Linked DNA regions of Caenorhabditis elegans. The protein of the gene in region 3 interacts with the protein of the main gene of each other region in a pairwise test. Each region holds a gene or a part of one and is shown on either strand. Other genes may lie near its edges.

The links.
Region 1: the proteins of swsn-1 (region 3) and daf-3 interact in a two-hybrid assay, tested with the Caenorhabditis elegans proteins (one study listed by BioGRID).
Region 2: the proteins of swsn-1 (region 3) and eya-1 interact in a two-hybrid assay, tested with the Caenorhabditis elegans proteins (2 studies listed by BioGRID).
Region 4: the proteins of swsn-1 (region 3) and pha-4 interact in a two-hybrid assay, tested with the Caenorhabditis elegans proteins (2 studies listed by BioGRID).

Annotation. Positions count from the first base shown.
Region 1 is NC_003284.9:819,402-827,287, reverse strand, and holds the start of daf-3 (Smad protein daf-3), read left to right. Parts: upstream 1-1,861; coding exon 1,862-1,886; intron 1,887-2,025; coding exon 2,026-2,214; intron 2,215-3,118; coding exon 3,119-3,220; intron 3,221-3,441; exon of another isoform or gene 3,442-3,446; coding exon of another isoform or gene 3,447-3,474; coding exon 3,475-3,630; intron 3,631-3,677; coding exon 3,678-3,829; intron 3,830-3,875; coding exon 3,876-4,115; intron 4,116-4,309; coding exon 4,310-4,444; intron 4,445-4,596; coding exon of another isoform or gene 4,597-4,605; coding exon 4,606-5,266; intron 5,267-6,556; coding exon 6,557-6,687; intron 6,688-6,866; coding exon 6,867-6,988; intron 6,989-7,032; coding exon 7,033-7,085; intron 7,086-7,417; coding exon 7,418-7,589; intron 7,590-7,792; coding exon 7,793-7,886. UniProt on the Caenorhabditis elegans protein: Transcriptional regulator and common SMAD (co-SMAD), required to regulate entry into a developmentally arrested larval state known as dauer, in response to harsh environmental conditions.
Region 2 is NC_003279.8:14,228,330-14,233,145, reverse strand, and holds the start of eya-1 (Protein phosphatase eya-1), read left to right. Parts: upstream 1-1,785; 5' UTR 1,786-1,903; coding exon 1,904-1,921; intron 1,922-2,115; exon of another isoform or gene 2,116-2,157; intron 2,158-4,044; exon of another isoform or gene 4,045-4,114; intron 4,115-4,816. Other genes in the region: clec-114 (PAN-3 domain-containing protein), read left to right, coding at 15-111. UniProt on the Caenorhabditis elegans protein: Tyrosine protein phosphatase. Acts probably as a transcription regulator in the embryonic and postembryonic development of several tissues including pharynx, vulva and gonads. Required for the development of anterior tissues during late embryogenesis.
Region 3 is NC_003283.11:20,246,458-20,251,083, forward strand, and holds the start of swsn-1 (SWI/SNF complex subunit SMARCC2), read right to left. Parts: upstream 3,026-4,626; 5' UTR 3,004-3,025; coding exon 2,889-3,003; intron 1,293-2,888; coding exon 667-1,292; exon of another isoform or gene 1-666.
Region 4 is NC_003283.11:20,751,465-20,759,082, reverse strand, and holds the start of pha-4 (Defective pharyngeal development protein 4), read right to left. Parts: upstream 6,032-7,618; coding exon 5,990-6,031; intron 3,743-5,989; coding exon 3,503-3,742; intron 2,555-3,502; exon of another isoform or gene 2,346-2,554; intron 2,174-2,345; coding exon 2,108-2,173; intron 2,050-2,107; coding exon 1,923-2,049; intron 1,660-1,922; coding exon 1,239-1,659; intron 927-1,238; coding exon 500-926; intron 440-499; coding exon 276-439; intron 1-275.

The DNA.
Region 1 (7,886 bases), on a different chromosome or scaffold from region 3:
AATAAAAATTGAACTTTTTGTTTCTGCTGTGATATCTTTCACGATAAAATCTTTTGAAAAACCATCGCTTTTATAGTACTAGAGGTGTTAATAATTGACGGTTTCAAGGCTAAGATCACGCGATTCTTTAGTTGAATTTGTTTTTTGATTGTTTGGACTGTGAGATTGTAATTTTTTTAATCTTGTAAGTTTTTGTGCAATGAAAAATGCCTTAACGACTTTCATATAAATTTCTCTTATTCCTCTTGTTTAAAATGTCTACCACAAATTTTTAACAGTTATAACTAAATTGGGCAAAATTTGTTATTTCAACTTTACAAAAAAAATTTAACTTTTTTTGAATACTCTCTGTAGACGCGGTTTTTTTTTCAGAATTATGGTGGCCACCTTTTCAATAAAAAAAAATTATCTGAAAAATGCCATGGTCTCTCTGACCTTCGGCCCACATTGTATCTACGGATTTCATTCAAATATTTGCGGTTTTTTTTGACCGCTTGATCAAACTAATGAACTTTCATCAATGCAAACAAAATTTTTTCGCCAAAAGCAAATGACTAGCCAACTTTTTTTTTCTGTTTATGTTCAAATAGTTCAGTGGTTTCTTGTTAATTAATTATGACACAGTTTTGGTCACAAAATTTGAGCGTTTTTTTCGCTGAAACAATTGCACAAATCTAATACAAAACATTCTGATATCACACGCATCAATTTGGCGAGATTTCAAAAAATCAAACTGAGATGAGACCAGTGAAAACAAAAAATATATATGAGTCATCTAGAAAGTGATCTATACATTTTGTAGATCTTTTTTTAAAAATTGTGATGTTTGAGTACTTACAATGTAGGTCTACCACTTATTTTTTCTAGTTAGCTCACTATTTTATGCTTAGCATAGGTCAAACTACCCTTATAAAAAAAAACAATTATTTAGGTAAAAACGCTTGAAGTTCTTTTTTTCCTTTGTTTTGCACGAGAGGTTTTTTGTAAGTTTCTTATCAATCTCTTTTTTCAGTAAAAAAAGATCAAAACATCAAACCGAGGTCATGTGCACTCTCTTGTAGCTCTCTACTTGTTCCCTCATTATCTTATTCCCCCCGTCTTCTCACTTGTTGGTCCAACTACGCTCAACTTATCGATTCTTTGCAGCGAGCACTGCCACCTCAACACACTTTTAGCAATGAAATAGTGTGCTGGGCGAAGAGACGCAGACACACGTACGTAGTTTAAGAGTGAGCGAGATAGAGTGTGCGTAACGAGAAAAAGAGATAGAAGACGAAGAAACAAGTAGTGGTTTGGTTTCGATCTTTTTTTTTTAATTTGGGATATTTTTATTTTTATTTTCGAATTGTCAATTATTATTATTAATAGACTGTCAAAAATTACTTTTAATACCCCGTATTTGAACACGTTCTTTTTTTTATTTCTCTTAAATTGATTCCAAACAAGTTCCTATTAACACAATTCTTTTCAATTTTCTTTTCGAAATCATAATATTTTTTAAAAGTTAAATCTGTGGTTTTTTGGTTTTCCTTTCTGAATATGTTTTTACTGAAAACACCAAAAAATCTTGACAGTAGCTCAAAATATCAAGCTTTACAATTAAAGTTTTTCTCAACTTTTTTTTTCCCCTATAAACACAATCTCCCTTTATTCCCAAAAATACCACGAAACATGATATTTCAAAAAAAAAAGACAAACAGGTTTATACCACAGTTTGTACCTTTTATTGTCCATGCTGGTATTGTATTTCCTACTTCTTTGCCGCCCGGTTTTTCCTTGTTGTTTTAATTTTATTCCAAAACTCAATTTTACAGGTAATCAAATTGTAAAGGAAAAATATTAATAGTCAGAGTACACATAAATGGGTGATCATCATAATTTAACGGGTGAGTTTTTGTTTTATTGAAATTACTTTATTTTCGGAATGTTATTTAAAAAAAAGTTACAGTTTGAATAAAAAAACAGGATCTTCTGTTTCAGTTTTGAAAAAAAAACCAATTCCATAGTCCATATCCCAACTTACAGGCCTTCCCGGTACCTCCATCCCGCCACAGTTCAACTATTCTCAGCCCGGTACCAGCACCGGAGGGCCGCTTTATGGTGGAAAACCTTCTCATGGATTGGAAGATATTCCTGATGTAGAGGAATATGAGAGGAACCTGCTCGGGGCTGGAGCAGGTTTTAATCTGCTCAATGTAGGAAATATGGCTAATGGTGAGTTTAAATAGTAGCTATAGGAGTGAAGTGTTTGGAGTGTCGTGTTGGATATAAAATATCAATTAAAATAGATTCGAATTATTCAGAAAATCGCTTATTTTGGTAGTAGAACAAATGTTGATAAGTTAACAGACATCTTCTTTTTCCAATTAGTCTTGCACCCGAAGTGACTAGTTGGAAAATAGCCTTGCAGTTTCTATTAATTTTGTACATACTAATCTAGTACATTTCTAGAGAAAATTTTAGTATTTTAAGGTGGCAACGAGTAGTGCGGAACTCAAAATTCTCTTACATTCTCTTATATCTACTTACATTGAAAATTAATTTTGCACTCAAAAAATACCAAATAAAAAATAGGGTACTTGTTCCCGCTATTTTTGAAATTAATCAATTTTTCATTAATTTATCTATTTAAATTAAACTTGATATCTATTTTCTTCGTTGGGCTCAGGAATGGTAAATACGAGTTTTATAAGTTTTTATTTTATAAGTTAAAAAATTAATTTCTAAAATAGCGGAAGCATAATACACAAGTACCAAAAATAGTTATACATGCAATTTTGTCCATAGAATACTCTGAAACAACCTTGGTATTAGCTGCAAAACTGCAACATTATCAATTTAAAAAGGTATTTCTAATTGCAAATAAAATCGTAGCATTTCTAACAGTTGCCTAATTCTCGCTTTCTATTTTCAAATTTCAATTTTTTTTAAACTTTCAAGTAATGCAAACTCTGTAAAACACTGAAATCTAGTGAAAACCAAATCAATTTCCCTACGTGATTAGTAGTCGTGGTGTATGGTGGTTTGTGTTGGTTTGATATGCTTATTTTCCTTTTTGTTTTAAAAACCTTCCCCGTTTTGTTGCTTTTTAAATTTTACATTTCAAACTGAAATTCAGAATTTAAACCAATAATCACATTGGACACGAAACCACCTCGTGATGCCAACAAGTCATTGGCATTCAATGGCGGGTTGAAGCTAATCACTCCGAAAACTGAAGGTAAATAACGTCGAACATAGTAGTATAGCTTGAAAATAAAAAAAAACGTTGAATATGATGCATAAATGGTGCAATAGAAGGTTCAAAAGAATTTGTTGCCAACAAAAAATCTAAAATTTCAACACGAACCTCATGATGTTTACCGTCTGGCAGTCACTAACACACGTATTGATAAGCGAATTGTTGCCAAATTTCGTTGCTTATCAAACCTTATTTCTCTCTGACCATGAAGCTAATAGCAACTTCTCTTCTAGTTCCCGACGAGCACACACCGATGATGTCACCAGTGAATACAACTACAAAGATTCTACAACGGAGTGGTATTAAAATGGAAATCCCGCCATATTTGGATCCAGACAGTCAGGATGATGACCCGGAAGATGGTGTCAACTACCCGGATCCAGATTTATGTAAGTGGCAAAAAAAGTGTGAGCAAAAGAACTTAATATATTTTCAGTTGACACAAAAAACACAAATATGACCGAGTACGATTTGGATGTGTTGAAGCTTGGAAAACCAGCAGTAGATGAAGCACGGAAAAAGATCGAAGTTCCCGACGCTAGTGCGCCGCCAAACAAAATTGTAGAATATTTGATGTATTATAGAACGGTAAATACTTAAGTTTGTAGTACTGATTACAATATTGCATTTTCAGTTAAAAGAAAGTGAACTCATACAACTGAATGCGTATCGGACAAAACGAAATCGATTATCGTTGAACTTGGTCAAAAACAATATTGATCGAGAGTTCGACCAAAAAGCTTGCGAGTCCCTGGTGAAAAAATTGAAGGATAAGAAGAATGATCTCCAGAACCTGATTGATGTGGTTCTTTCAAAAGGTACAAAATATACCGGTTGCATTACAATTCCAAGGACACTTGATGGCCGGTTACAGGTGAGATCAAAAAAAATTTCTAGGACACATTTTGAGCCTATAGACATTAAATTATGATCTTTCAACGAACCTACGCTAGATAAATGATCCGACTTTTAAAAGTTTTGGAATTTATTTTGAGACGTTTCATTATGAAACTTGTATTAGACCAGCTTATGATATCAAAGTACCCACAAACTCCATACAAATTACAGGTCCACGGAAGAAAAGGTTTCCCTCACGTAGTCTATGGCAAACTGTGGAGGTTTAATGAAATGACAAAAAACGAAACGCGTCATGTGGACCACTGCAAGCACGCATTTGAAATGAAAAGTGACATGGTAGGTGAAGTAAGTGTGAATTGTTTCATTTTTCCTTTGATGTGATGTGGCACATGTTAGCTTCTTCCCTTATTCGGTTAACTCTGTGACCTTTGTTTGATTAAGTTGATTGCCTAATGTTGAGAAGATGTGACTTTTAAAAGTTTTAATATGAATATTAGGCCTTACAGGTATGCGTGAATCCCTATCACTACGAAATTGTCATTGGAACTATGATTGTTGGGCAGAGGGATCATGACAATCGAGATATGCCGCCGCCACATCAACGCTACCACACTCCAGGTCGGCAGGATCCAGTTGACGATATGAGTAGATTTATACCACCAGCTTCCATTCGTCCGCCTCCGATGAACATGCACACAAGGCCTCAGCCTATGCCTCAACAATTGCCTTCAGTTGGCGCAACGTTTGCCCATCCTCTCCCACATCAGGCGCCACATAACCCAGGGGTTTCACATCCGTACTCCATTGCTCCACAGACCCATTACCCGTTGAACATGAACCCAATTCCGCAAATGCCGCAAATGCCACAAATGCCACCACCTCTCCATCAGGGATATGGAATGAATGGGCCGAGTTGCTCTTCAGAAAACAACAATCCATTCCACCAAAATCACCATTATAATGATATTAGCCATCCAAATCACTATTCCTACGACTGTGGTCCGAACTTGTACGGGTTTCCAACTCCTTATCCGGATTTTCACCATCCTTTCAATCAGCAACCACACCAGCCGCCACAACTATCACAAAACCATACGTCCCAACAAGGCAGTCATCAACCAGGGCACCAAGGTCAGGTACCGAATGATCCACCAATTTCAAGACCAGGTACGTATGATTTAAAAAAAAAACAGTTGTTGTAAGGAGAAAAAGTTATTCTGACAGTAGGCATGAGGGTTGAACTAGAGGGACGCCGCAATTGCAAGAATTGTCGATTGCCGAAAATTTCCGACTTTGAACGGATGTCGGCAGGATGTGCCGGTCCGCTGTCAGGGTGGGCGGCAATTGCCGTTTGGCAATTTTTTTTGTCCACAAATTCAGCAAATCGCCGGAAATTTTCGATTCCGGCAATTAGCCGGTTTGCCGATTTGACGGAAATTTTAATTGAAGCAATTTGCCGATTTGCCGATTTGGCTGAAAAAATCGTTTGCCGCTCACCCCTGGTTTGGTGTTCCAGCCGAGAGCTAATAATTTTAGTCACTCAGCCACACAATACTGCCACCTATCAAGGCATGGATTTACAAAGGTTTAATATCTCCAGGTGTCAAACCAGAAACGGCAAAATATTATTTATGGGTACCTCATTATATAAAGGGGTAGAATATAAGTAGGCGGACAGGTGCATAGCCAATTCCCGCAGTTTAATCCTTTTTGGGATGTCCATTAACAGAGCCTTATTTGAATTTTTCTATTGGATTTTCGCCCTTTTCCGATGAAAACGAAGCGTTTTCAAACTTCACTAAAAGTGCAGCTTTTACAATTTTGACTAAATTGCTCTAGAATTAAGTATGAAAAAATTTTATGAATAGTATTGAGAGTTCATATTCTTTCGCAAAATAATCAAGAAATCTCTGCAGGAAATTTAATGTTAAGTTTAATCCTTATACATAAATTCTAATATAAGTACTTGATAATAACGAGAAAGGATGAAGCCCCTCAAATATTTGCCTTTTAAATTTGCACGTAGGTTTGAAAAGGCATCAATTTTGCAAATTTTTTTTTCGATAAACATTTTGCAGTTTTTTTATTTTAGATCTCATCAAAATATCTTCTTCTGGTAGACACATGTAATTTATTTGAAATTGATTGGAAAATGCCAACTTACAACATTTTGAAAAGGTGTCCTGCCAATTTCATATCAGTTATCAGATTTATTTTCTAAAAAAATAGCCAAGTTGAGACCACGAGGCGTATGATTATAGTTGTATAGTCGGTGATTTATTGCATAAAGAAGTTGGTTTAAAAGCAGTGATTTTGATTCTCAAAACTCATTTTTTTAGAGATTTTCTACAGCCGCTTTGCGAACAATTTTACTTTTCATCATACATGATACATTTTTTTGTCGCCTTTTCAGTTCATTCCTAAAATTTGTAAAACTTGAAGTAAACTCAATTACAGTGTTACAACCATCAACAGTCACCTTGGACGTGTTCCGTCGGTACTGTAGACAGACATTTGGAAATCGATTTTTTGAAGGAGAAAGTGAACAATCCGGCGCAATAATTCGGTCTAGTAACAAATTCATTGAAGTAAGTATTTCTAATATGTAGCTACTATGTACGTGTCACTCAAGATTGACAGCTTATCGCATATAAGTTGTGTCGATAAGGTGCCAAACAAAATATTGAATTTAATGTCACTTTTTGCTTTCTGAATCATCAAACAAACGATTTTTGTTTTTCATTCAAGAATATTGTGTTTTTTCTAGGAATTTGATTCGCCGATTTGTGGTGTGACAGTTGTTCGACCGCGGATGACAGACGGTGAGGTTTTGGAGAACATCATGCCGGAAGATGCACCATATCATGACATTTGCAAGTTCATTTTGAGGTTCGTTCTAGTTTTCATGGAATTAAAAGCCAAGTATTTTTTAGGCTCACATCAGAAAGTGTAACTTTCTCAGGAGAGGGGCCAGAAGTTAGTGATTGTAAGTTTCTTTTTTTTCTCTCTAAAGTTCACTTTAAAAAATCGTGTTAGTGATTGAAAACAAAATGAGTAATTATGTATTATACCCCGCCAACATAAAATTAAATTAAATTTTCATTCATAACTTTATTTAAATTAAACGTGATATGGATTATCTTCTTCAGATTTAGAAATGGTTATCATCAAGAAATCTTCCACACGTTTTCATGCTTTATTTCTTAAAAACTTTCATTTAAAACGACGGGGATATAATACATAAATACCCAAAAATGTAAAAGATCAAGTAAATTTAAAATGTTCACAACATAAAAAAAAACTGCTTGCTTTTTTCAGTGAACGAAAAATGGGGAACAATTGTGTACTATGAGAAAAATTTGCAAATTGGCGAGAAAAAATGTTCGAGAGGAAATTTCCACGTGGATGGCGGATTCATTTGCTCTGAGAATCGTTACAGTCTCGGACTTGAGCCAAATCCAATTAGAGAACCAGTGGCGTTTAAAGTTCGGTAAGTAAATCTGAAACTTATTGATATATTATAGAACATAGGTACAATTTTTTTTACAATCCAATTTTTTGGGCAATGACAGTATCAGGGTAACAATCCAATCCAAATTCGGAAATGTTGTTCGATAGTTTCCAGCTTATGAATTTTCTAACTAAAGAAATAACACAAATTTTTAAAGCTTTTGAACCATTGAAATGTTTCAGTAAAGCAATAGTGGATGGAATTCGCTTTTCCTACAAAAAAGACGGGAGTGTTTGGCTTCAAAACCGCATGAAGTACCCGGTATTTGTCACTTCT
Region 2 (4,816 bases), on a different chromosome or scaffold from region 3:
TTCGAATTTTTTAGATGCAACATGTCAACCGCAGGGCTGGTACCCACAAATATATGCTACAAAGGATACGTCTGCGGAGTGAAGCCCACTAGTCTAAATTCAACATTTTAATTTTATTTTTCAAACTTCCAGGTTCATAAACTGTTCGAGAAGCCCACAGAAGCATTTTTCTCGAGAGTTTCCGAATTCGACCTGCTAATTTTTGAAAGCAGTACCTGAATTATTGAAAACTTCTTATTAAGACTTCTAATTTTATTTTGCTATTCAAATTTCATATTTTCTAGAACTTTTCAACTTTTTGTCCGACTGGCTCAGTGGGATTTTGGGTGACTACCAATTTCACCACCTGGGTTCGAGTCCGCGCCTTGGCATATTTTTTTGTTTTAGTGTTATTTGGCTAATATCGACATTCTGAATCCGAATTTCAAGGTCCCATGCCTTAAAACTCAATGGGTTTCCTCCAAAATCAATATTCCATTGCAAAATCGTCCCTCGTCCCATATACTACTAAAATTGAAGTCAGCGTCTCGACTCTGTGCTCCCGAAAACTGAAATATGATCGCTTCGCCGCTTTCGCACGCTCCCCATCTCCCTATACTCTCAGAAATGAGAGGAAAATAAGGGAAGGGGGTAAAATCAACAAATAATATCGATTTTTTGAGAAGGTATAAAAGTTCGAAAAAATCACAAAGCAGTGTGGAAATGTCTAATTTTTGACCGAATTCGAACTCGGAAAGTCGAAATTTAGTAGAATAACACCAAAAAAAAAATTATGCCACATCGCGGACTCGAACCCCGGACCTCAGATTGGTAGCTGGCTAGAATCCCACTGAGCCACTCGTACACAAAAAGAAATTAAGTTTGAGCCGACCTAGCAAGTCTTTCTGGTTTTGAGAGTTGAAAATTCGAATTCAGGAGATTTGTATTATTCTGAGAACAGCAAAACAAAAATTCATGCCACAGTGCGGACTCGAACCCCGGTCGTAAGATTGGTAGCCGGCCAAAATCCCACTGAGCCATTCGGCCAAATTTTCAGAAAAACTTGAAAATTACGGTTTGAGCTGATTTTTCAGCAATTTCGATATATTTTTTTTTTCCAATTTTGAACTTGTTTTAAAGTTGTTCAAGCTATTGGAGACCAAGCTTCGAAGGGATATATATATATCCCCAAAATGTTGAAAATGTTATTACAAATAGTATATAAGTCAGAAATCCGTGTTCAGCAGGGCTTGTATAGTCAAACCAATAAATAAAAAAATTTATGACACAGTGCGGACTCGAACCCCGGTTGTCAGATTGGAAGCCCTCCAAAATCCCACTGAGCCATTCGAGCAAATTTTCAGAAAATCGAGGTTTGAGCTGATTTTTAAAAATTTTGAGCATTTTTTGGGACTGTTCAGCATATGTCTCATGTGTGCTAGGTGCAATGAGCTATTAAAATTTAAGCTTGATAGTTTATTTTCAATAAAAAGTTAAAAATTTGTATGTTAAAAATTCGTGTTCAGCAGGGCTTATATAGTCGAACCAACAAAGAAAAAAAATTATGCCACAGTGCGGAGTCGAACCCCGGTCGTCAGATTGGTAGCCCTCCAAAATCCCACTGAGTCACTCGTACAAAACTTTTTTTTCAAAATTAATTTTTCAGAATCCGAAAATAATGCGATTTTCCACCAAAAGGCGGAGCTCCGAGCAGACAGCCGACTGGCTCAGACATACGGTAGCTCAGGGGTGAGAGCTCCGAGAGCTCAGAGAGCCGGCAGAGAAAACGAGAGCACACACACACACACAAATACATCAGAGTCAGTCTCTCCCTGCTTCTGCGTGCCAGTTGCTCAAATTTTTGCTCAACAATTTCCAAATCTATATATCTGAAATTGTTCGCAATTCCTGAATCAAAAAAAAAATGCTTCCAGATTCTGAGGTGAGTTATATGTCGCTTCAGGGCGCCCCCGGGCGCCCGGTACCCCATCCCAAAAGTATCAAATATCGGCATGGTGATGAAACTGGAGAAAGTTCTGCGAGAAGGGTCTGTCTGTAAGATGAGCTCTTCCAAGACACCCCCCCCCCCCCCCCCCCCCCCCCCTCCATGTACCTCCTTTCCCCATTCAGTACCTAGACAGTTCTAGCTAACCTCTCCTACAATGTTCTCTGTATTTTGTGAGTTTTCTAAACCGTGAACTTTAATTTAAAAAACTCGAAAAATCGATATTTCTAATCTTAAAAATGTTCCTGAATGGCGCAGTGGGTTTTTGGACAGCTTCCGAGCAGAAGCCCGGGGTTCGAGTCCCCGCTGTAGCATTTATTTTTGTTTTTGTGTGGATGAGCTATATAAATGATTCTTGGCTTTAATTTCCTTGTAACCCAGAAAAAAAGCTCTCGGAGCTCAAAACGAGTAGAACTGCGAATTTTAATGGTACGGGGTTGGGGTTTCAGATAAAAATGTAGATTTTTAAGCTGAAATAAACTTTTTTCAGAGCTTTTACTCTTCATTTTTCGCAATTTCGAAAATTTGGTCCAAGTGGCGCAGTGGGATTTCGGATGACTTCCAATCTGACGACCGGGGTTCGAGTCCGCACTGTGGCACAATTTTTTCATTTTACTGTTTCTAGATTAATTTGAGTGCGCTGAGTTCAAATTTCTATCTTTTAAACTTCTAGGTTGAAGTTTTTTAGTAGAAAATTCCGAACTTTGTTGCAACTCGGAAAAATAAACAAATCAATAATTAGCGAAGTTTATAATCCACGTAAACAAATGTCTGGGTCACCTGGTGCTCAATGAGCACACTTATTTTTGATTTTCACTATTTTTCCAAAAAGATACATTTTTAACTAGGAACTTGCTCCGAATCGCCTTTTAAACTGACATTAATCAGAAAAATTATCAAAAATTATGATGTACATCCCTATTGTAAATTTTGGATTTTTTTTTTGGTCAATTTATGCGACTAGTTGATTTTAGGCACCCCTTAGTCTTTTTCCAATACCCAGTTGAGTCTAGATACCCCCTCACGCAACCATATTACATCATTATATAGCCATCATTAGCCAACTTGCAACAGTTGGGGGGACCCCCTGTGGTGACGGGATCGAATTCAGAGGTCTTGGGGCTCTTCGATGCACAATTTCTGTGGCAAAGCAGTAAAAAATCCAAAAATAAAATTTCGAAAATTTGGTGCAAGTGGCTCAGTGGGATTTTGGTGGGCTTCCAAGCAGAAGACCGGGTTCGAGTCCGCGCTGTGGCTTAATTTTTTTTTTTTGGTGTTTTAGACTAATTTGGGTATAGGCATGTCGAAAATTTTAGTCACGAGTCAGAAAATGGCTCAATGAGCATAAGAGATGAGTTTGAAAATTTCCTGGCGCTTATTTTTAAATTTTTAAAACCCTCGTAACTTTAAAACTAGAATAGCAAGAAAAAAGTTTCCAACCACAAAATTGTAGGAAATTTTCCAAGTAATATTTTGCTAGTTGACAACTTTCCTCGAACTATGCTCTCCACCGAGTTATGGTAGAAATCGCAACACCTGTTTGGTGGCGGGGAGCTCTGAGAAAACTCCCGCGGCTCTTTTCTTACCTGTTCGCCGGCGGTCACTTGAAACTAGATACCCTTATACCTTTTTTCCGCACCGGGCTCTTACTAAGTTTTAGGGCTTTTGGGGAACCCTCCGGGATTGATTCAAGTCAAATTTTTTTGGCCGGTTTTTATCAAAATTTTAATTTTTTCACTCATTACTTCACTGCCCCCCGGCCTAGTTATCACCTCCACTACCGTGTATTTGAACAACAGCGACATATGTAAAGCTCCTGTGCTACTGCTCGCCGAGCAAACAAATACAGATGGCATTGTTTGTGAAGCACCCCGTCCGACGCCTTGAAAGTAGTGAGGGAAGAAGAAGCTGAGAGCTGTATGTAAATGGAGTGGTGGCTCGGGTTTCGTCATTATTCCTGAGAACGGAAATTCGCAAGCTTTGGAGGGGTCCTGATGGGGTTCAGAAGTCTGTAAAAGCATTGAAAAAGAAAAAGAAAAAATATATGCCACAGCGGGGGTTCGAACCCGGGCCGTGAGATTGGTAGACGCCGAGAATCCCACTGAGCCATACGGTCAATTTTTTTGAAAATTTTGAAAATCGAGGGTTTTTGTTGGTTTGTAGGCAATTTCTCCAAATTTTGAGCTGGTTTTTAAAATATCCTGGGCTCAGTGAGCATTTCAAGATTTGATAAAAAATTCCCCGGTTTAGTATAAAAACACCTAAATAAAAATATATGCCACAGCGGGGGTTCGAGCCCTGGTTGTAACTTTGGTAGCCGCTGAAAATCGCACAGAGCCATTTGGACAACTTTTCTGAAAATTTTTAAAAATGAGGGATTTTTGCTGATTTTCAATTATTTTGTTAAGTTTTTTTTTTCAGTATATTAGCCTCATTTTTAGGGTATTCTAGGCTTAATGTACATCCGAATCAAGGGTGTCATTTTTCGATTTTTCGATTTTTTTGATTTTTTCGATTTTTCGATTTTTCGATGTTTTTCAGTGAAAATTTACTGTTTTGATTATCCTTCCCTGTGGGGGAACCCTTTTTGAATAGATATTTACAACCTCCTACAACGAAAAGGTTCAAAAATAAAACATTATCAGCTGTTTTGTAAGTTTATTTCAAAAATCGAAAAATTTTTCGATTTTCGATTTTTCGTTTTTTTCGGAAAATCGAAAAACGAAAAATTTTCGATTTTTCGAATTTGAAAAAACGAAAAATCGAAAATTTTTAATTTTTCGATTTTCTGGAAAAATCGAAAAACCGACACCCTTGATCCAAATTACAAGA
Region 3 (4,626 bases):
AATATGTTGGGATTTTTCACTGAAAATTCGAAAAATTTCAGTGAAAATCGATTTTTCTGTTGAAAAATTCAAAAACTGCGGGATTTTTTCGGTTTTTCATGACAATTGGCCGAAAAATCAGAAAATTTCTCGCGAAAATCGATTTTTCTGATGAAAAATTCAAAAATTGAGGGATTTTTTCGGGTTTTCCATAATAATTGGTCGAAAAATTAAAACTTTTCAGTGAAAATCGATTTTTCCGATGAAAAATTGTGTGAAATTGCCGATTTTCGCTCAAAAATAGCCGGAAAATGCTCAAATTTGCACTGAAAATTCCAATTATCCTCAAATTTGCACTAAAAATTCCAATTTTTCTCAAATTTGCACTAAAAATTCCAATTTTTCTCAAATTTGCACTAAAAATTCCAATTTTTCTCAAATTTGCACTAAAAATTACAATTTTCCTCAAATTTGCACTAAAAATTCAAAATTTCCTCAAATTTGCACTGAAAATTCCAATTTTTCTCAAATTTGCACTGAAAATTTCAATTTTTCTCAAATTTGCACTAAAATTCCAATTTTCCTCAAATTTGCACTGAAAATTCCAATTTTTCTCAAATTTGCACTGAAAATTCCAATTTTTCTCAAATTTGCACTGAAAAACCAAGGCAGACGCCAGGTACGCACTCTCATCGCGATGGCCTGCTTCTGATACTGATCAATTTTCAGGCCGGGCGTCGAAATGGACTCAATCTCAGTCTTAATCTCCTCTTTTGGTGGCTCCCCAGATGCTCCAGCAGACTCCTTTCCAGGTGGATTCATTGGCTGAATGCCAGTCGGTGTATCAGCTAAAACCATAAAATGGCTTGTTGGTGGCGGAGCAACAGGAGCCGGCCGAGCATCCGAATCAACTTGATAATTCAGCAGGCCCCATTGCTCGAGAAACGAGTGAAGCCGCACAATTGAGCACACATCACCGGCCAAATTCCGGCGACAAGCCGTCGCAGACACGTATTCAAATGGATTCAGACGGTACGTGTCGACCATAAAATTACGGTAGGCAACGTAGACGTCCGGTGTCTTGCTCTTATTCTTTCCGTTGAAAAATTCAGGCATTGCGCGTTTCTCGATTTGATGAATTGCGTTATAGTCGAACCAGCCGGCGTATGAGGGGACTACAATGTAGTGGGTCTGCTCAATGACGTTTCCTTCGGCGAGTTGTGGAGCTTCTTTTGTTGATTGGACACCTTCTTCGTCGAGATCAGTGAGCTTTTGGCCTTTTGGTGCGCTGAATTCGGCGTCTTTTTCCTTTCCTGCAAAAGAGAATTGGTTGGAAATTGAGGGGAAATTGGATTAGCAGCGCCCAAAACTTGTAGTTTGTAGTTTAGCAGCGCCCAAAATTGAATTAGCAGCGCCCAAATCTTGTAGTTTGTAGTCTAGCAGCGCCCAAAATTGAATTAGCAGCGCCCAAATCTTGTAGTTTGTAGTTTAGCAGCGCCCAAAATTGGATTAGCAGCGCAAAAAACCTGTAGTTTGTAGTGTTAGCAGCGCCCAAAATTGAATTAGCAGCGCCCAAATCTTGTAGTTTGTAGTTTAGCAGCGCCCAAAATTGGATTAGCAGCGCAAAAAACCTGTAGTTTATAGTGTTAGCAGCGCCCAAAATTGAATTAGCAGCGCCCAAATCTTGTAGTTTGTAGTTTAGCAGCGCCCAAAATTGGATTAGCAGCGCAAAAAACCTGTAGTTTGTAGTGTTAGCAGCGCCCAAAATTGAATTAGCAGCGCCCAAATCTTGTAGTTTGTAGTCTAGCAGCGCCCAAAATCGGTCAGCAGCGCCCAAAATTGAATTAGCAGCGCCCAAAATTGAATTAGCAGCGCCCAAAACTTGTAGTTTGTAGTTTAGCAGCGCCCAAAATTGAATTAGCAGCGCCCAAATCTTGTAGTTTGTAGTTTAGCAGCGCCCAAAATTGTATTAGCAGCGCCCAAATCTTGTAGTTTGTAGTTTAGCAGCGCCCAAAATCGAATTAGCAGCGCCCAAAACTTGTAGTTTGTAGTTTAGCAGCGCCCAAAATTGAATTAGCAGCGCCCAAATCTTGTAGTTTGTAGTTTAGCAGCGCCCAAAATTGTATTAGCAGCGCCCAAATCTTGTAGTTTGTAGTTTAGCAGCGCCCAAAATCGAATTAGCAGCGCCCAAATCTTGTAGTTTGTAGTTTAGCAGCGCCCAAAACTTGTAGTTTGTAGCTTTAGCAGCGCCCAAAAAAATTTTAGGAAGGAAATTTGGAAAAATCTGGTTTTTTTTGGTCCTGAAATGCAATTTTGACCGAAAAATTGGTTTTTTTCTGGAAAAATCAGATAAAAATGCGATTTTTTCAGAAATTTCGAAGAAAATCTGAAGAAAAAGCGCTGAAAAATTCCATTTTTGGCTAAAATTTAAATTTCCGATTTTTTTTCCAAAAAATGAGTAGAAATTTTGAAAATGCGCTCTGGAAATGTTCGAATTTTGACCAATTTTCGCTAAAATTTAGCTTAGCAGCGCCCAAAATTCAAATTTCGGTCTTTTTCGAATGAAACTTGAAAAAAAAAAAGTTCACTTTTGCGTAAAAAATGTGTTGAAAAAAGCATTTTCGAGTGTAAAAAACCAATTTTTTGCGTTTTTCAACTCTCAATTCCGGAAAAAATGGAAAAATTATGCAAATTTCCCAGAAAATCAAAGTTTTCCAGTCAGTTATTGCAAAAACTTGAGCTCTGACGCTGAAATTGCACTTTTTGAGGGTATTCGGGCTGCCCGGAGCCAGATTTTCACGGATTTTGCTCGATTTTTTTCGATTTTGTCGGAGAAAATCACTAAAAAATGCGTTTTTCAGAGCTATTTTTCCGCATTTTCGCCGAAAATTCCACACAGATTTCGCTACCTTTCGGCACTTCAACCTTCACAGCGGCACCACTTCTGCTATCATCGTCGTCGCCGGTCATCGAAACGTCACCGTCATCGTCGTCGCGTCTCCGCTTCGACGCTCCCTTCTTCATTCCACTTTTCGACGAAATTTTGCTGAAATTTAGCGGGGAATTGAAAAGATTTTCAGGGTTTTCAGCGAGGAAAAAGCATATTTATGGGCAGAAAATTGCGAAAAAATCGATTTTTTTCACTGAAGTGAGCAGAAAAACGGCAAAATTTCTAGGAAAAATGTCTGTAAAATCAAGAATTTTAACAGAAAACTGTGGAAACTGCAAAAATCTCGTATTTTCTTGGAATTTCTTTCGAAATTTTCAATGAAATTATGACTAAATAACCTTAAAAAGAGACTTTTAACAAAAAACTGCGAGAAAATTGGTCGAAATTGGTCCAATATCGAAATATCGAGGCCCGCGTAGATTCAAACAAGGCGGCAGTGTGAGGGAGCTCGCGCGTAGTGAGAGACGCCAGAGAAAACAGAGAAAACGAGAGAAATAGTGTGGAGAAACGAGAGAGAGCGCAGAGAAAGGAGGCCTCGTGGAGAGGGAGAGAGAGAACGCGGGATGAACATCTGCTCAGAAAATGGAATACGGGGGGACCTGTAGGACGGTGGGGGAATTATCGATTTTCTTGGGGTAATTGGGATTTTGCAGCGCTAAAATAGAGCGGGAATTGTAGGAAATTTGAAAATTTTCGATTTTTCCAGGGAAAAATCCCGGAAAATTTCCGAAATTTGAAGCATTTTTGAGAAAAATCGAGCTAAAATCTTGTAGTTTGTAGTTAGAATTCAGGAAAGTTGAAGAAAATTTGATTAAAAATTGATTTTAAGCGAAAAAATTCGAATAAATCGAAAAAATTGACAAATTCAAGCATAGCAGCGCCCAAAAAGCTGTAGTTTGTAGTTTTAGCAGCGCCCAAAATCGAATTAGCAGCGCCCAAAACTTGTAGTTTGTAGTTTTAGCAGCGCCTAAAATTTGAATTAGCAGCGCCCAAAACTTGTAGTTTGTAGTTTTAGCAGCGCCTAAAATTGAATTAGCAGCGCCCAAAACTTGTAGTTTGTAGTTTTCGCAGCGCCTATAATTTGAATTAGCAGCGCCCAAAAAGCTGTAGTTTGTAGTTTTAGCAGCGCCTATAATTTGAATTAGCAGCGCCCAAAACTTGTAGTTTGTAGTTTTAGCAGCGCCCAAAAAGCTGTAGTTTGTAGTTATTTTGAACTTTTTTTGATGAAAATTGAGGAAATCGGGCTTTTTTTCCGAAAAATTCGCATTTTTTAGCGATTTCTAGCAAATTTCAGCGAAAAAATGGCAAAAATTACGTAAATTTCAGTAGAAATTCCAGTTTTCGAGCTGAAAAAGAGCAAAAATAGAGCATTGAGGGGGGTATTTAACCACATCAAAAAAGTTGAAAATACAACGGAAAAAACGATAATTAATTTGAAAAATGTCTTGTTTTGTTGTTCAATGAAAAGCGTCACAATGATGATAATGGTGAATAATGAATAAATATAAAAAATACACAAAAAAAAGTACACAATTTAGTGATAAATAGAGCGATAAATCGAGATCAATTCAAAAAATTGGAAAAACGGTTCGGACGATTTTGAACGTATAGAAGCCTAAAATGAGCTCAAATGAACGAATTTTGTAATAAAACTGCTCAAAAATTTTAAATTTTTTAAAAATTGTTTTATGGCGGTT
Region 4 (7,618 bases), 500 kb from region 3:
TTTTATTCAGAATTCCGGGATTAAGTTGAAATACTTTCCTTGATAATAAAAACCAATACTATCAAATTCGTTAGTACTTTTTTAAATCTTACTATTATGACCGAGTAGAACCAGACTCCAATTTTTACTAAATTGAAATTTATTGTTAACTTCTAAAACATTCAAAATAATCATGAGACCGTAGAAAATAAATGATGTGTTTTAAACAAGGAAAACAAACGAAAAAAATTAGTAGGGGGTCAACAAAACATCGTTAGTTATACCATCAGACATACCTGTAAAGAGTATTCTGGTATACTCCGTTGGTGTAGTCAATTCCTGGATAACTGCTCGTTGTGTTGTAGAGTGTGTTGTTCAGGAAATTCTGGGATTGTGGGAGAATTGTGGCAAAATCCGAACTGTAGAGGTAAGGAGACGCGTATTGACCATTGAGTGTCATCTGAAAAAATTCAAAATGGGAGCTTGAAATATTGTATTCACTGGCTAGATTTTATCTTACCTGTGCTTGCGTGGTTCCTAGTGTGCCAACACTTGAGATCACTGAAGTAGGTTGACTGTGATTAACAGCCGACGGCGTTCCCGATGGGTCAATTAGGCCAAGATTGGCAGCAGCTGCAGTTGCATCTTGCACAGCTTTCAGCTCTTCCTTGATCTCCTTCTTTGTAGAAATTTGAGGGATCAGAGAATAAGCACCAAGTGATGATGTGGTCGTGATGGATGTTGGATCCTCTTCTTTGATTTCCATTTTTGGAATGTGTTGTTGTTGATGCAATTGTTGGGAGTTGGCATTTCTCTTCTTTCTCGATGGCTCACGTTCCTTGACCTTGAATCTCTTCTGCCTACGGAGGTAGCATCCATTCTCAAACATATTCCCACAGTGCTCGTGAAGAGTCCAGAAGGATCCCTTTCCAGGCTTGTCAGGGGACCTGAAAATTATAAACTTAGTCTTTGTAAATCGTTTCCGGAAAACATCCATATAGATTTTTTGTCAAATCTTTTCACTAACGCGCACCCTCACTCTCTCCGGTAATTTCTCATTTCAACAGCTTCACGCATCAATGGGTGTCCCTTGGGCGCACGGTATAATAAATGTGGCGCTGCAGAAAAGGTAGTCCTTGAGATAAACTATATAGGTTCCGATTATAATAGGAAATGATGGTTTTTGTGGGAAAACAATAAGAAGTTTTTTATCGGGACAAAACGTGTCCAGAAAAAACTTTAATTTTCAAGACTCTTACCTGGCAACCTTTACAAAGCAATCATTGAAGGAGAGGGAGTGGCGAATTGAGTTTTGCCATCTTTGTTGATTGTTCTGATAGTAAGGGAACAAATCCATGATCCAATTGTAGATTTCAGACAATGTCAATTGTCTAGAATTAGACTTTTGAATTGCCATAGTAATTAAGCTAATGTAAGAGTATGGAGGTTTCGATTGTCCATAAGTTCCATGTCTTCTGATCTTTTCCGTGACAGTTTCAAATTCCTGAATCGTGAGTTCTTGGCCTTGCCCTCCGCTTACACCAGAATAAGACCTATCGGCTGGCGATGCAGCAACCGTCGAGCTTGATCGTCCATTGCTTCTTCCGATGACCGCTGAGGCGGACGACGTGGCCACGGAAGCGGCCGCTGTGGTGGCTCCGGTGGTGCCAGTGGTAAAACCTGAATGAGATCAAATTACAAATTGTGTATAGAGAGCGCCACTCAAGGTAGGTATGAATGAATAATGGATACTCATTTTGTGCTTGGGAAATATTTAGAGCTTTCAGAGTGAAGAGTATCTCACAATAATTTATTTAATCAGGATTGTCTATAGATATAAATTCATGCATTGTCTTAACCGTATTAAAAATAATTATATGCTATACTGTTTTTATGTATGTGAGAGTTAGTATTTAGACAATTAGGGATATTTTAAAACTTACCAAGAGGTGAAATTCCTCCTCCTTGCATGAAATTGGCTGGGCTGATGTAGTTCGATCCGAGCTGATTAGCAGTGGCATACTGGCTGTAGTTGTTGTAGTTCAGAAGTCCATTGGCAGCAGTCTGGTACTGAAAGTAGAATGGATGTTATTAGACTTATTAGTGAGAACAGGGTCAAACTTTTTACCTGATATGGTTGGTAGTTTAACGTAGTATTAGAATACGTCGGCAGATAGTCCTGAGCGTTCATGGCCTGCAAGAAAAAAATTGAAAGTTTGCTTTGAGGTCTGGGATTATGTAAATATTTAAAGATAAATACAAAATGTGTGTGTGTGTGTGTGTTTATAACAAATAACAAATATTTAGAAAATTCGGAAGCCCCACACGTGGAGCTAGACATGGAAATGAACAAATAAGTCCCGTTTGACCTCTGAACCTGAGCCTTGGAAATTCCTTAAAAAGATGATGCTCAAAGGTAAGTAGAACGCCCCGTACTGAAGAAGAGAGGTGAAGGAGAGGCTAGGCACTAGAGCAGCGGGACTCCGCCTACCTTGCCCTCCTATGCGCGTGCGCACCGCCTATCGCTTAGCCACAGTAACCCCGTCGCGGACTCCGCCCATTTCGGATTTTTACCTTGTTTTAGATTTCAACTGACTCATGGCTGAAAATAGTATAGGTGTTTCACTAATTGTAATCTCCACGTGGTGCTTTTTTAAGAATTCTAATTTTGGTTGTGTGTGTGTTTGTGGACGGTGGGGGGGGGGGGGGGGGGGGGGGGGGGGGTTCCTCGTCGTCGTCGGATAAATAAATAGAAATTGAATAAATATTTGGCTTCTTGGGCAACACGACGCCCAGCCCCTTCTTCTTTTGGTAGGAGGACCTCACAATTTCTATTTTCTTCTGGACACCATCACTTTGCTACTTTTTAGCTACTTTTCTAAAAAATTTTACAAAAAAAAAACTAACTGCTACAATTTTAAATCGAATTTTTATTAAATGAGGAGTACCGAAATCTGAGACTTTGCTTTTTTAACCCAAAATGACGCAAAACTACCGAATTTCATAATGAGACGTTTTAAAAATTTCTCAAAAAAAAGCTATGGCGGTTCAAAGTTCTAGAAAAAATTTGCCCATTTTCAGCTAAAATCAAATTTTTTTTGCCAACTTCTTGGTGTCACAGCGTCTTGAACATAATCCCTATTTGGTTATCACTCTTTAATTTTTGGTTGATTTTAATGTTGAGCCGTATTGGACCTCAAAATATTTCGCAATTCTAAATTTTGGTGATATACTCAGAATCTGGGATTGAATTTCAAAGAAATATTTTCGATTTAAAAAATTGATTAACGAATTGAAATTTTAAAACTTATTGCAGAAACTAACAAGTTAAACAGAAGAATAAAAAAACTAAATGACTCACAGTGCATTTACCTACTCAAAAAATTAATCATCAAAAAGATACGCCAGACGGTTATACAACTAGCCATATGGTTTTTTATTCTGATAAGCTTGGGTTAAAAATGACGATTATTATTATTACTTTATTTTTGACACCCTACCAAATTTGCCGCACCATACCTACCGTATAGTCTACACTTGAAGCAGCCGACGACGTGGCAGGCACCTGATTTCCCGTGTCGGAGGTCCCAGAAGTGGTTCCATTTGGCAACATTTTATGTTTCTGCTCGCGTTTTCGATTCTTCTCGGTTTCCAATAACTTTTTATTTTCCTGTTCCACAGAATCTTCTGAATCCGTTGAATTCGTGGTTGTGGCTGGCTCGGCTTCAGAGTCAGGTTCCGACTCTGGCTCCTCTTTGATGACCTTCAAACAAAATAGTTTAATTTTTTTCATTGTTAAAAAGTTCTCAAATTTTTCATTGAATTTTCCAAAATATCTCTTTTCCACTTGACCCAATTTTGTGTCCTAGCCTAGCACGTACTAGGATACTAAGAATGAGGTGGTGTGGTATAGAATTACATACAAGTGGGATAGAGGAGGGAGGAGGATTCAGATGTGAAGAAATTGAAAATATGTCCGGGGGCAATTTCGGCGAAAGCTTAAGGGTTGATGAGAGGAAAAGCGGCAAGGAAATCTCTTAAAAATGCAATATATAGCACCAAATGATACAAACGGCAATTTCAAGAGCTGAAGAACGATGACGAAATGAGAGTGGGTTGGAAATAGGTTCGGGATGCGAGGGTTTTACTACGTGGCGGCGAAGTTGAAAAAAAAAACTATCGCTATTTTTTTAAAAACATGTGAATGTTTCAACAAAATCTACAAGAGAAATCTTAATTTTTTTTCTTTTCTTAGACCACCTTATCAATACCGCTATGGGTCCTCTCACATTTTTATTAAAACTTTTATTATTGATTGAAAAGAGGCGTGGTATCAATCAGGGGTGGGCGGCAAACAATTTTTCCGGCAAATCGGCAAATTGCCGGAATTGAAAATTTCCGGCAAAGTGTTTCGGTCTTACGAAAAAATCCCTCTAAACATTTCCGGCAAATCTGATATCCGGCACCGGCAGTTTGCCGATTCGCCTTTTTTTAAAAACTATTTCCTTTTACTATTGCCGCCGTTTTTAGTCCGATTTTGAATGGTTCTTTCAAGCAAATTTTGAATGAATATTTCTGGGTCCAGATGTTCGCCCTAACAGTCGTTTTTTCCAGCTGTGATTCAAAATCGTAAAAAAACTTGAGACGACTATCATCCATCTGCCGCCTATTTTTTAGCACCTGTTATTATTGAGCATTAACTGCGCTGACTCATTATCTTATACACTTCTCCAAAATAATCAATAATCGTAAAATAGAGTAGAAAGCAGTGTAGGCGGAAGAAGAGGTTTCTTATCAATACTCACTCGATATGATTTCATTATTTCAAAATAGGTGTAGGTATATTAGAATCAAAAAGTGTGGGACGTTTTTAGGAAAAAGAAAATTCATGTCTATAAGAATAGTAATTGTAAAGTGAGAAAAACATTTTCCATGGTAAATCCAAACTTTTGAACCCCATTTCGTCATATTTTGTTCTAAAAAAATTAGGTTCGTCTTGAAGCTTATCACATATTTATCACTGAAACCGTGTGAAACGAACATGGCAAATAAAAGAAACAACAATTGGCAAACAAAAACTGATATCACATACACACTGCGAAATTGTCAAATATTTGCATGGGAAGGAGGAGCGAGAGAGTAGAAAAGAGCACAAAATATACGTCTAGGAGGCTCCCATTTTTGGGTGGAAGCTTTCGGAGCCACTGGTGGTGGTGCCCCTTCGGTGAATATCGCATTTCATCCATCGAAACAAAAAATATTTGGATGGCCCGAGTTTTGTTTTTGGAGCATTTTTTTCGGGAGCTCTTATTATCGAAATATGAAAACTTTTAATTTTCCACAGTGTTTCAAAACATGTTCAAATTGTTCCATAGAAATTTTTTCTAGCAAAACGAAGAAAAAACTTTGTGCGTGGACCGTGAGAATCAAATTTTCATTGTATCTCTCCGAAAAGAGAATCGATAAAAAAATCTTAAAAGAAAGTTTTAACAATTTCACTTTTTGAGCCTTGCATATTTTAAGAGTTCATGACTAACATTCAAATTCCAAAAAAGCTATTGAACTTAGAAAAAATGTATTTAATGTCATTAAAAAAGTTTGTAGTGATGTTTGAAGAAAATATGGTAAGCTGAACAATAACCTAAACTATTTCTGACAAATCACAGATGTTCATGATATTCTCAAAATGTGCATCTTCCCAGAATACCAATGGAGCAATAATAGGTGGCAACCTAGCATCCTGGCCGGGTCATATTGACATCGAGTATCCCCTGTTAATGAGCACTTATGTGCTATTATACACAGAAGGTGCTCATTTTCAGATTGTTTCAGAAGAGAAATAGAAAGGTAGCTGCAGAAATAGATTAAACATGTGTGGCAAAGATGGTTGTAAGTTTTTAATTTCGAAAAAAGTGAGCATACAGCCGGGAGCTAACAAAAACGTTTTCAGAGGCCCCGAACAATTTTAAAAAAAAACGATGCATGAAGCAGAAAATAACTGGTGCCTTACCCTTATATCAATAATGTCCTCATCACTGGATGGCGATGTCATTGTATCTCAAATTAGATAGTCCTTCAAAAAATACGCAGTGGACAGATAGGGTGTATAAGGTAATATTGGCTGGGGTTGGGTGATTTTGTTAGGTCTCTTGATACGACTCTTCGTTATCAACACTGTGACAGTGTGATGGTGATGATGGTGGTGTAGAAGGGGGCTGTATGGGAATGAGTAGAAGGGAATGGACATAGAGACGCAGTAACACGAGAGAAAAAGAGCACTGATTGATAAGAGAGTTTGACACGGACACCTGGAGACAGCGATCGTCACTCTCTGCTTCTCTACTTCTGCAAGCCTCCTTTTTGGGTTGTGGAGGGAGAGAGAGAGACTGAGTGATCGGAGACCGAGAGCGGGCGCGGTGCCCTTTTGAGTCATTTTGTACAGGCGTAGGGTGGTGGAGAGGGGAGATGGTGTTTCTTTGAAAAGCCGTCTGAGCAAGGGTGTTTAGTGACCCAGAATCGTATAGTGGTGTAGAAATGGAAAGTTTAACATTGAACTCCAAAAACTATCATTAAGCTCACAATCAGCTAATCTCAACTCTTCCTAATCATGTTTTAATATCTCATTTGAAAAAATGAAACCGTCCAATCTCCCCCACGACAATAGGAAAAATAAATTTCTCACCCTCAACTGCCATTCTTCTTCTTCTTGCCTTTTTCATCAACACAATTTTGTGACTGGTACAGATACATAAGAGGACGGACGCCGCGCGCGCGACATTTAGATACGTTATGGGAGCAAGATAAGGCTAGTTGTGTAGCAGTTAATAGCAGTTAAGAATTAGGTAGTATTAACAAAGGGCAATTTAAAAAGATATCACAAAAAAGTATAATATATTTTTTGTTTCAGTCATTCATACAATGTCCATTGGTCCGTTGGTGTGTAAGACTAAGAGACTACAAGTTTTATTGAAGGCACAGTACTAACTTTTGAATTTTTGAAAACCTTGAGAAAAAGAATCAAGCTTTGACAAAAAATTTGCTTGATGCTGTTTTAGGCACGAAAATTAAAATTTTCACAATTTTCAAAATTTCAAATCGTTCCGATTTATTTTTTTTAATTAATAGATACGGTACATCTGGTAACAAGTCTGTGCGAGACTATTAAAGTGTTCAATACTGGTATAATAATTACTGTAAATCAAAAAAAAGCAATAAGAAAGTTAAATCAATGAGACGCTAATACTCCCAAAAATAACTTGGAACAGGTGAATCATTTCAACGATTCACAAAAAACAGAGTTCAAGTTCCGTCTCATTGATTTTTCATTGCATACCACACCCAAGCATCCGAAACTAGTATTAGGTTCAGGAATGACTAATCTCCCAATGGATAGTTACTGTATCAAAAGAGACGTTCACAGCATTGCCCTCTCGTTGCTCCGTCCATCAAGGGCACTGATAATGAGGGTTATCAACATAATAGTTACAAAGACAGGAAAGTGACCAATAAGTTAGATGGTCCATTATCACCTTTTGACAAAAGTTTAATGGTTCCGCTTTCCGCATAGCTCATCGTCGGTAGAATCTTTTGTAACACTATTCTTTAGGCCTTTGCTATCGTTTCTTTGTTAAGGGGAATA